Linked DNA regions of Elephas maximus indicus. The protein of the gene in region 3 purifies or fractionates together with the protein of the main gene of each other region. This does not show direct contact. Links are inferred from orthologs where the notes say so. Each region holds a gene or a part of one and is shown on either strand. Other genes may lie near its edges. The genes, in order: COPS7A, KLHL15 and COPS5.

Evidence for each region.
Region 1: the proteins of COPS5 (region 3) and COPS7A purify together in Homo sapiens (affinity purification with mass spectrometry; 19 studies listed by BioGRID and IntAct, counting the BioPlex papers as one, with this or other methods). This does not show direct contact. The link is inferred for Elephas maximus indicus from reciprocal best matches to the Homo sapiens genes COPS5 and COPS7A.
Region 2: the proteins of COPS5 (region 3) and KLHL15 purify together in Homo sapiens (affinity purification with mass spectrometry; 3 studies listed by BioGRID and IntAct, with this or other methods). This does not show direct contact. The link is inferred for Elephas maximus indicus from reciprocal best matches to the Homo sapiens genes COPS5 and KLHL15.

Annotation. Positions count from the first base shown.
Region 1 is NC_064822.1:63,482,486-63,486,236, forward strand, and holds the start of COPS7A (COP9 signalosome complex subunit 7a), read left to right. Parts: upstream 1-1,581; 5' UTR 1,582-1,720; exon of another isoform or gene 1,721-1,803; intron 1,804-2,167; 5' UTR 2,168-2,210; coding exon 2,211-2,372; intron 2,373-3,751.
Region 2 is NC_064846.1:155,090,016-155,093,766, forward strand, and holds the start of KLHL15 (kelch-like protein 15), read left to right. Parts: upstream 1-859; 5' UTR 860-1,096; intron 1,097-3,751. Other genes in the region: EIF2S3 (eukaryotic translation initiation factor 2 subunit 3), read right to left, coding at 70-133, 704-772. UniProt on the Homo sapiens protein: Substrate-specific adapter for CUL3 E3 ubiquitin-protein ligase complex.
Region 3 is NC_064833.1:75,497,698-75,501,448, forward strand, and holds the start of COPS5 (COP9 signalosome complex subunit 5), read left to right. Parts: upstream 1-1,075; 5' UTR 1,076-1,357; coding exon 1,358-1,500; intron 1,501-3,751. UniProt on the Homo sapiens protein: Probable protease subunit of the COP9 signalosome complex (CSN), a complex involved in various cellular and developmental processes.

The DNA.
Region 1 (3,751 bases), on a different chromosome or scaffold from region 3:
CATTTATCTTGTCTTTATCACCTCTACTCCTTTTCCTGTTCTCTCTGCTGTTTTAAACCTCACTTCTTTAGTCCAGCCCTCTCTCATTTCTTTCTCCACATTCACCTCTTGTTCTACTTAGTAACTGTTCCTCATTTTCTTTTCTCCTTGTTCTTGTCTTTCTCTCATAGAGCTGTAAAACATCAGAATCAAAATTAGCCTTAGAGATTCTGTCATATAATCTCTCACTTCGCAGGTACAGAAGAGATCACAAGGTGGCATGATGCTTTGCTTTAAGGCCCCAGCTAGCTTAAGTCTGAATCAGGACTGTATCTCAGGTTGTCCATTTCCTCCTCTCTTCTCTTTTCCTCTCTGCTTTTCTTTCCTCCGTTTCTTAACATAGTCTTAGAATCAGACAGACTCGCATTTGGATCTTAGCTCTACCACTTACTGGTGATCTTTAAGAAATTATTTGTTCCTTAATGATCCAGTGTCCTCACAGGTAAAGTGAGATATTAATAGGCACCTTAAATGCTTTCTGTAAAGACACAGCGTCTTTTTTAAAAAATCGATCCAAAAAACACCTGGTATATAATAGAACAAATGTTGGTTCTTTTCTCCTATAGTTTTAAAGTGATAAGATTGGGCTCATTAAATTCTTTGGTCCCTTCAGACTTTGCATATTTTATTATGCCTTTTATTCCTTCTCGACTTTGTTTCATCTCATCCACTCACTACCACTACTTCTCCTAAAGAAATCTCAGGGTTTTTTTTTTCCCCCTAAAGTATCAAGGTGAAGTGGAAAGACAGCTTTGGATTTGAAAAGACCTGGGTTCCAGGCAAATCCCTGAATTTTTCTGAAGCTCAACTTCCTTATCTGTAAAATGAGAATAACAACATATGCCTCTCTTCCACGTAGGGCCCCCCCCTCCAGGAATTAAGAGTCAACGTATGGAAAGCGTCACTCTCCAAGCACATGTTGTACTCAGGGCAGAGGGGGTCCCGGAGTCTGACTGAGAAGGCAGTAGTTTTAAGAATTCAACAGAATAAAAAATTTAAAAGATGCTCAAACAAAAATAAGCACTCAATACATGTTAGCTATTTTTTTTTTTTTTATTATTTCCTTTCCCTTTTCTACTTCTTTTCCCCTGTTCCTCAAAAAATTAGTGGTTGAACGACCCAGGTGATCTCTGCCGCTCACCTTCTATTATTATTGTCCCCCTTCCTCTTTCATCCTGCCGTTTTTTGTTTTTTCTTCTTTCGTTCTCCCTCTTTCCTTCCACTACAGCTTCCCTCTTGCTCTAGGCACAAGCTGCACCCTGGGTCTCCAGGCCTCCGACAGCTTAGAGCTGACACACAGCCCGACACTCAAAGGGATCGAAGGTTGTCTACCTTTAGCATCCACCGCCCTTTCACCAATAGTTTTATCGAAACAGTGGAAAAAAAAAAAAGGCACAAGTCATTCTTCTCCCTGCAACGAATCAGAGAGTAGGATGCCTGCGTCCCTCACTGGAGCTTCAATGGTCGGAAAGCAGGGCCCAGCATGTCCCGCCCGAAACCTGCCCCTAGGAGCGGAAGTACGGTCGGAAACCGTCCATAGAGTTTAGTAGCTAGAGCGACCCTGGGAGGAGAGGTGGCAGGAAAGGCTCGGAACAGCTGCCGGAGGTGACGGAGCCGCGGCCCCGCCCGGTGCGCTGGAAGACGAAGCTTCCAGGTAGCGGCCCACAGACTCTGACCGAGGGTAGGACGGGCAGTCGTCCGGACCCTACGATTCCAGGGAGGCCTCTTTAAGGAGGGGCGGAGCCACGCGTAAGGGGCGTGGGGGTAAGGTCACGTGGTTGGGGGCACAAGGGGCGAATCGAGGGATCTTCGTTGGTGGGGTGGACACCATGTGACACTCCTTTCCCCTTTGCACCTGTGCCTTGGGGTTCAATGGGATGCACGTGGTGAGGCTTGGGGTTAGCGCCCAGGGGTCGGGGGAGAAGGTAGGTGTGGCATTCCTGTCTCATTCGTGTTCCCATCGAAACGACCAGCTTTAGGATTCCTAGATCCCCGTTCTAACCACTCTATCTCTTGAGTCCTCATTGTAGAAGCGACTCAGTGCCTCTGCAGTTCAGCCCTACCCCCATGATCTTCCCATCCTGCCAGCGTTCAGAGACCTCCAGCTTCACAACGTCTTTCCTTGCAGCTCCAGACATCCTGAGCCCAGCTGCCTCCAACTCAGTGCAGCCATGAGTGGGGAGGTGAAGGTGACAGGGCAGAACCAGGAGCAGTTTCTGCTTCTGGCCAAGTCGGCCAAGGGGGCAGCACTGGCCACACTCATCCACCAGGTGCTGGAGGCCCCTGGTGTCTATGTCTTTGGGGAACTGCTGGATATGCCCAACGTTAGAGAGGTGGGTTCCTGGCCTGGATAGCTCTTAGTGAAGCTTGGGGCTAAAGTTTGAATTTGAGAATGGGTGGGTAATGCTCATTTTGCAGCTATGTAACCATTCAGTTGAATACGAATATGATGATGATGGCAGCTTGCAAAAGTAAGCAAGCAGGTAAACTTCTAAGCTTCCCTTGTGAGATGAAGGATTTGTAAAATCCAGTATTTTTGACTTTTAAGCAAAAGAGCACGTGACTCATAACAGGAGACCTGAGTTCCAGCCTGTCTCCACCAATGTAGTATCTCTTAGTAAACATATCGCTTTGATCAGGTCACTTTTATTTTCTTTCTTGAAAATGGAGATGATATTGATGATATTGCCTTCCTTACCGTTAATGTGGGAATCAAGTGAGATTATGGGAAAGCATAAAGCCTGGTACAGATGGGAGGAGTGAACATACTAAATTAGTATGCCCTGTTCTCCCTCCTTTGCACCATGTGCTGTTCATTTGAGGTAGGTAACGTAGAAGGTGTCTTTTCTCCCAAAGATATCGCAAGTTGCTACTAATACAGTGGGAAAGTTAAGAGTTTAAAAAGAGTGAGTGTTGCCAAGATACATGACACTGTTCAAGTCCTAAGATGCTATGACAGTGGACCAACTGAAGCAAGTTTTTGAAGGCCTGTGATTGAGTCAATGGATTTAGCCTTTTAGGATCACTCTGTGGTACAGAGAAAACTCTTACCTTCTTTCCCTGCTTTCCTCTGCAGTGGAAGAAGTATTTATTGAGTGCCTGTTTAACACTCTGCTAGTCATCTGGGAACACCAGAAAAGTACAAAACATAGTGCTTACCCTTCTGAAGCTTACATTCCAGGTGAAGAGATAGGATGAATGGATATAAGTCTCTAAGCCACTCATTTAGCAAGTATTTATTGAAAGATGCAACTACATGCATAGCTCCGCTAGATCCTGAGCGGAATACCAGAGATTGGGCCTATAATCTTGTTGACAAGAAAGGTATTGCTAGGTAACAAGCTTAGGTGGAGGTTGATTGATGAAGTACCAGTGGTAGGAGGAGAGGACATCTGAGTGGGCTGGACTGGGTGATGTAAGCCTCCCAGGTGAGGTGGGTCTGAAGCAGAGGCCACAAATTCACATGCCTGCCTCAGCCATGTAGCTGTCAGGATGAGTGAGGCTCAGGCAGGAATCTTGATTAGAAATATGAAGCATACTCAGAGGGCCAGACAACACAATTTGCAATGTCTGCTGTGTGTCCTTCAGGTAGTGGGCACTCAATATTTTTAGCCATGAATTTAGGGTAGGAATTGAATAGCAGATGGAGGAAGAGGGCGTTGTGGATTGGGGAAATAGCAAAAAGGCCTGGGGGTGGAAACAAGCCCTTCCT
Region 2 (3,751 bases), on a different chromosome or scaffold from region 3:
TCACACCAAGGGAGAAGTTAAAATTACTTGCCAGTGATCAAGCACGTCAGGACTCCAAGTTATTCTTACCTATGTTAATTGTGGCTTGTCTGCTGATGACTTCGTGTGAAAGGGGTGTCAACTTGGCAACATCCTGCAACGAAACATTTTATTATAAACCACTGCACAGAAGACAAAACAGGGTTTTCCATCTGACTTTACGTTTGCTACCTATAGCTCATCACCATCTGTACAGCTCTCTATTACTTCTGAAGCGCTTTTCCCATACAAGCAATCTTGTGCTCTGATGACTGGAAAGCCCGAAGCACCCCTAATCGTTACACAACAAAAGACTACGCCTGCACTCTATGAGAAATCAGGAGGCCCGAGGCCCCCAACTTTGGAAGCTTTAGCACTGAGGGCCGTGGAGATGCTCCCTTCCCAAGCCTTCAGAGTTTGGTCAAAGCCTTAATGACACTCCGTGACGTTCCATCCGAATCCTTCAGGAGCTCGCGGTCCCACGAGCGCGCACACCCACAGCCAGCTCGCAGACCGGTCGAAGTGCAAGCGGTGGCGCGAGCGCGACGCAGGCCGCTCGGATCCGGGGCTCCCTCCTAACTCAGGCTCCCGACGGCCCGGCACTGCCTCGCCCCAACGCCTCCCGGGAGGCATGACCATCCCCACTCCCACGCTCACTCCGCGTCCTCCCAAAGCGAAACCTCACCAAGGTGGCGAGATCCTGGCTAGAAAGATGTGACTGCCCCAGAGTCACTCCCGCCTCGCCCCCCGCCATCTTGCCCAGAGAGGAAGGAAGTCGGCCAGGCTGTCGGCTGACAACACGCAAGCCCTCTGGTGAGGGGCGGGGAAGTCGAGGCGGGAAGACAGACCAGGGCCCAAGCCTAGCGAAGGCGGATGACCCATGCAGCAGGGACCTCACTGCTTGGACTTCTCTCCGCTTAGGCTCATTCAGTGCTAGTCGGCTTACTAAGAAACACAATGCAAAGTGTCGGGATCTACTAATCGCAGAACTGTTGGCTATTTGGGCAGGCAACATTTAAGGCAGCTCCAGAAAAGGTCCTTTGGCCTGGAGGGGAACGTAACACGACGCTCCGCGCTGGTAAGGGAGAAGCTATTTCCGTTTCCGGGAGCGTTGCCCGAACCGGTTTGCCGAAACTTGAGAATTTTATCTGGGGTGTGAAACTAGAATATAGAGAGACTGTCGTTATTTACCGATTCCTGGGTACAATTTAATAAGGCGAAGTCGGCTCGGGATCCGCGCTGCCTGCAACGGTGCTCGTGGCTGGGAGGAGGCCGCGTGCTGAGCGGGCTACGCTCAAGGCGCCGCGCGTCGCCTGTCAGGCTTCGGGGAGGGCGCCCTCGCGTGGAGGTTAGGGGAAGGGCTCAGGGGCGCCCGGATAGGAAAAGCAAAGTTCCTAAGTTGTTCCCAGACGGAGGTCTCTAGGGCCTTGAGAGGTGGTCCGTGGTGGCACTAGAGTGCACTCCGAAAGGATTTTGCTTCGGGGAGAAGCTAGGTGTCATAAGAGCGCCCAAAGTAAGTTTTTAAAAAAGCAGGTCCAAGAAAACCCACTTCTTTAATGGGAAGATTACCAATCGTCATTTTAAAATTTAAACAATTTTGAGACTCAAACCTTTTTTCATCGCGTGTTAAAAAGAAGTTGGGTGTTTTTTGTTTTACTCCATACATTTTTATGCTTTGCAGTTTTTCTGTTGTAAACAGGTATTCATTATTAACTGGAAAAAAGATATAAGGAGAGGTACATAAAAATTTAGGTTATATGTACCCATTGAGTACTTAAGATTAAAATGAATATGTGTTTTATATAATAAATTTTAGGTACAACGGTTTACCTAAATAGATAGCTGTGTTTCAATGAGTGCATTCACTGGCTAAGTGATGGTGGAAACTATGCTATATTGTACTTGGATGGTGATGTTTAATTCTTATTTATCTTAGCTTCTAAATAGTTATACCAGCCAATTAAGAAAACCCGTTGAGGTGGTGAAAGAGTTCCAGAATTAGATAGTGATGGTTGCACAACTTTGTGACTGTAATAAAAACCACTGAATTCTATACTTTAAAAGGGTGAATGTTATAGTATGGAAACTACATCTCAATAAAATAAAACTCATTGATAATACCTAGAAAATAACTAAATATTATGCTTCATTGTCAGAAATTTTTATTGGAAGTAAAAAGGCACAGGAAGCAATAATTAATTTCAAATTAATGAAAATAGTGGTTAAAATTATTGGCACCTAAAATTGTTGACACCTACTTACCAAATATTGGTTTAATCCTCACAACAATCCAGTGAAGTTGTTAGGTGTCATCAAGTTGATTCCGACTCACAGTGACCCTGTGTACAACAGAATGAAACACTGCCAGGTCCTGCATTATCCTCACAGTCTGTGCTATGTCTGAGCCTGTTGTTGCAGCCACTGTGTCAATCTATCTCCTTGAGGGTCTTTTGCTTTTTTGCTGACCTTCTACCAAGCATGATGTCCTTCTCCAGGCAGGCACTGGTCCCTCCTGATAACATGTCCAAAGTACATGAGACGAAGTCTCACCATCTTGCTTCTAAGGAGCATTCTGGCTGTACTTCTTCCAAGACAGATTTGTTCATTCTTTACTGCAGTCCATGGTATATTCAATATTCTTCGCCAACACCATAATTCAAAGGCATCAATTTTTCAGTCATCCTTATTCACTGTCTGTCTTTCACATACATATGAGGCAATTGAAAACACTATGGCTTGGGTCAGGCATGCTTCAGTCCTCAAAATGACATCTTTGCTTTTTAACACTTGAAGTAGGTTGTTTGCAGCAGATTGGCCCAATGCGCGTGTTGTTTGATTTTTTGGCTGCTGCTTCCATGGGCGTTGATTGTAGATCCAAGTAAAATGAAATCCTTGGCAACTTCAATCTTTTCTCTGTTTATCATGATGTTGCTTATTGGTCAGTTGTGTGGATTTTTGTTTTCTTTATAATGAGGTAGATACTATTATTCTCATTTTACAGAGGAGGAAACTGAGTCCCAAAAGGCTTAGGTAACATATCCAAGTTTCCACAGCTAGCAGCAGAGCTGAAATTCATAGCCAAGTCTGAGTATACTTTTTTTATATACTGTTTTTTTAATTGGCTTTATTGAGGTAAAATTTACGTACCATAAAATTCACCTGTGTTAGGTATACAAGTCAAAGATTTTTAGTAAATTCACAGAGTTGTACAACCATCGCCACAATCCAGGTTTAGAACTTTTCACTCACCACAAAGAGATCTCTGGTGTCCATTTGCAGTCCGTCCCCATTCCAACCTCAGAGACATTCTGTGTATATAGATTCGCTTTTTCATATAAATGGAATCATGTAACATATGGTCTTTTGCCTCTGGCTTCTTTCACCTTGCATATTGGTTTTGAGGTTCATCCATGTTGTAACACATAGTAGTAGTTTGCTCCTTTTTATTGCGGAATACAATTCCATTGTATGGATGTACCACATTTTGTGTATCTGTTCACCAACTGATGGATGTTTCAATTGTTTCTACCTGTTGGCTATTATGAATAATGCTGCTGCGGACATTCGTGTACAAGTTTTTATGTGGACATGTTGTGGTATGGTGAATTACTTAATATGGCCCTTCTAGCCATAGTCTTTGTAACTCCCACCAAATGACTAGGTGGGACTATGCAGATGAGGTGCCTGTGACCCACCAAGGGGATTGGATAGCTTGCTAATAATGTAAATAAGG
Region 3 (3,751 bases):
CTAAAGAGAGATGAAGCTAAAGAGGAGCAGAGGAACCAGGTGAACAGCTTTAACAATATTTTTTTTTTAAACAAAAATTTACTGAACATCTAATATGCTAGGAAGGAGCCAAGATGACACAGTGGTTGAAGACTCAACTGCTAACCAAAAAGGTCATCACTTTGAACCCACCGGCCGCTCTGCAGAAGAAAAGGTATGGCGATCCGCTCCCACAAAGATTACAGTCCAGGAAACCCTATGGGACGATTCTATTCTGTCATACAGGGTCGCTAGAGTTGGAATCCACTCCAAGACACAAAACAGTATGTTAGGTGTTAGAGATAAAACAAGGAATAAGACAGACCCGGTCCCCCGTTTTGGAACTTAGAATCGGGGTTGGGGTGGAGGGTGGGGTTGACCTAAAACGAGTAAACTAATAAACGGAATAATTAGACCTGGTTTTTTTTTTTTTTATTATTAACTGTTGGAAGAAAACAGGTTGCTAAAATTTTATTCGGACTCAGGGTCAGAAGAGGTTTCACAGAATGGTATTGAAGATATAACTGTATCTATTATAAAAACAGTATTGGACATTTTCAGGACAGTAACTAGCTCATAATACATTGAATACAGATGCTAATTTTTACAAACAAGCCAAGAGGGACAACCACTGAAGTCCACATGGTTCCATACCTACTCCCAACACTAGAGGACGTGCATCTGAAAACGGTGCGCCAAGCCGCCCACTTCATTTTACGCATGTGCAGTTAGTCATCTTGAAGTAAAACAGGATGACTTTATCTTCCTTTCAACCAGCATCCGGAACTAGGTACATCTCAGCCTTCCACAGACATCCTTATTTTTTAGTTATTCAGGGAACCTATCTTATTTAAGATAACCTACAACCTCACAAAGACACTTTTTCCCCCTATTATGGCTGAGGCCCTACCCATTTTTAATATGGCGGAGATCGAGCCTGCGCAGTACCAACAAAGAAGGCTAATTCCAAGTGCTGGCATAACGCGTGCATGACCTTCTTCCGGTGTGGAAGGCTGTACCATTCCCAAGCCCGATTATTGTGTTTGTTCTAACTCACACCTCTAATTTCGAGTGGATATGTTCTCATTTCAGCCACAAGGATATTTCTCTTTCCCTATTATTGTAACTGCTGTTTATACCGTCGCTTCCCCGAAGGGCCCCCGCCATCCCCGAATGGTCTGTACCACCTTCACCTCCGGTTCTAGGTGTCATGGCAGCCTCGAGAGTCTTGTAAGAGTGTAAGACCGGTGAGGGGGGAGGGTTGGAAGCCCTCGCCCCGAGACCTAGTGGGGTAAAGTTGCGTCTTGGTTGTGGAGGCAACAACTCCGACTCCTTGGCCATGGCGGCGTCTGGGAGTGGTATGGCCCAGAAAACCTGGGAATTGGCCAACAACATGCAAGAAGCTCAGAGTATCGATGAAATCTACAAATACGACAAGAAACAGCAGCAGGAAATCCTGGCGGCGAAGCCCTGGACTAAGGAGTGAGGAAGTCCCTGGCGAGACGCTGGGAAGGGAAGGGGCGGCGGGGATTTAAGAGGAGGCCCAGGGGGAGTGGGAGTTGAAGGGGGTGGAGAGCTTTGCCTTGTGTTTTCATGGTCTGGGAGGGGAGGGACTGTGCACCTGAGAGATTTCGGTTTACCTTTATCTCTGCTGCTAGAGCCTAAGTTCCTCCGCTGAGGCCTGCCGCGACTCCCCCTTCTGTCTCTTTGACCCATTTACCTCCGGGGGATGGAGGTGGGGAATGAGAAGCGGTGATTTGGGCTGACACGTCTCAGCATCCATATTATCATATATGCCACACACTCTGCCATGAAACCTGTGTGGACATTTACCAAGGTGGGGCCTTCGGCTGATGCCAGCTGGTGACTGGAGCCGTCTCTAAAATAGCTATGAGCTGTCTTTTAGAGAGGTGTAATAGTTTTTGTTTGCTGGTAGTAATGTCAGAGGCACCCAATCTCCCCAAATATTACTCCAGGCACCACTTACCATAAACCAGAAATTATATCAATAAGAGCTTAAGCCACTTTGCCTCTTACAAAGTAGATGTATCCCTGGGAATAAAGACAAGTCGAGTGTTCATCACATCATAGCATTTATACTTTCCTGAGGGAAGATTTTGATAGACAGTAAAAAGAACACAGAAAGTTACTATCTAGGCAGCGGTTGAATTCTCACCTTCCACACAGGAGACCTGTGTCGATTCGCACCAATGCACCTCAAGCAAAGCCACCACCCATCTGTCAGGGAAGGCTTGCATATTGGTATGATGCTCAGTAGGTTTCAGTGGAGCTTCCAGACTAAGATGGACTAGAAAGAAAGGCCTGGCAGATCTACTACTGAAAAACCAACCACTAGAAACCCCTATGGATCACAATGGTCAGATCCCATTGTGCATGATGTGACTGAGTCTGGGCCTACTCCATAGCAGCTAACAATGGACAGATAAGAAGGAGAGCTGTGGTCACCCACAGAAACTATATTTCCATCAGTGACTCCATGGCACTGGGTTTTTTTCCCCAGTTTTGTACAAGGCTGGCTTTAATTGACAGTATCTAGATTCAGCAGTGTTTACTGAGTACCTAATAAGAGCCGAGCACTGAGCTAGGTAGGAATTTCCATATGTCATTTAATCTTCCTGACAACCTAGTGCTATATATTCTTTTTTTGTAAATAAGAATACAAGTAAATATATTCAGTAACTTACCTCACAATGACACTGAGCAGTGAACACAACTCAAGGTCACATCTCAGAGTTGGCAGTGACTAGTTGATTGACCTTGGGAAAATTACTTATTCTCTTTGAGTCTTCAATTTTTTTCTATAAAACAGAGATAAGACTTACCTCTTGTTGGTTTAATAAAGATTATATCATGTAATGTATAAAAAGGGTCTAGAATGTATGTAACAGGAGCACATTAACTGTGCCTTCTTTTTTTTTCCCCCCAGTAAACAGAGGAGCCAAGATTTTAATTCATGTCTCTGATTCCTAAGACTAGGTCTCCATATTTTTCAGCTTGTGATTGAAATCTGGCAAAGTTTGAGAATTAAACTTGAATATTTTCTGTGGGAGGTCATCTAAAAAGCCTTCTCAGAGACTTTGACTGCTCTATTCAGACTTCTTACGTTGCCTGTTGTCTGCTTACTTCTGTAGCAGGCTGTGCATTTAAGGTTGATGTAGTCCATTTGGAAACTGTATTGGTTTGCCTCACTGATTATATTTCTAATTAAATTCAGCCTAACATCTTGGGATTCATCAATGAGACCAGAAATGTAATTTTATTCAAGAGTTGTTTAGCTCCATCCACAGATGACAAATTCTAGAATAACGATCATAAGGAAACTAGGAATATTAGGGCTACATTTTTAATTTTGAGGCTTATAGCACAGAGGGAAACATACCTTTCAATACAGTGTTCTTTGGTAGTGCCATAAAAAAAAAAAAATACATTGCCATCGAGCCAGTTTGGACTCATAGCAACCCTATAGGACGGAGTAGAACTGCCCCATAGGGTTTCCAAGGAGCAGCTGGTGGATTCAAACTGCCGACCTCTTGGTTAGCAGCCGAGCTCTTAGCCACTGTACCACCAGGGCTCCTGGTAGTGCCACAGAGAGGTTGATAATTCTAATAAGAGTTAAGTAACACTAAAGTTTCAGTATGTGTCAGGCACTGTGCTATGTACTTTATATACATTATTCCATTTACTTTAACCCTGCTTGCAGGTGGGAAACTGA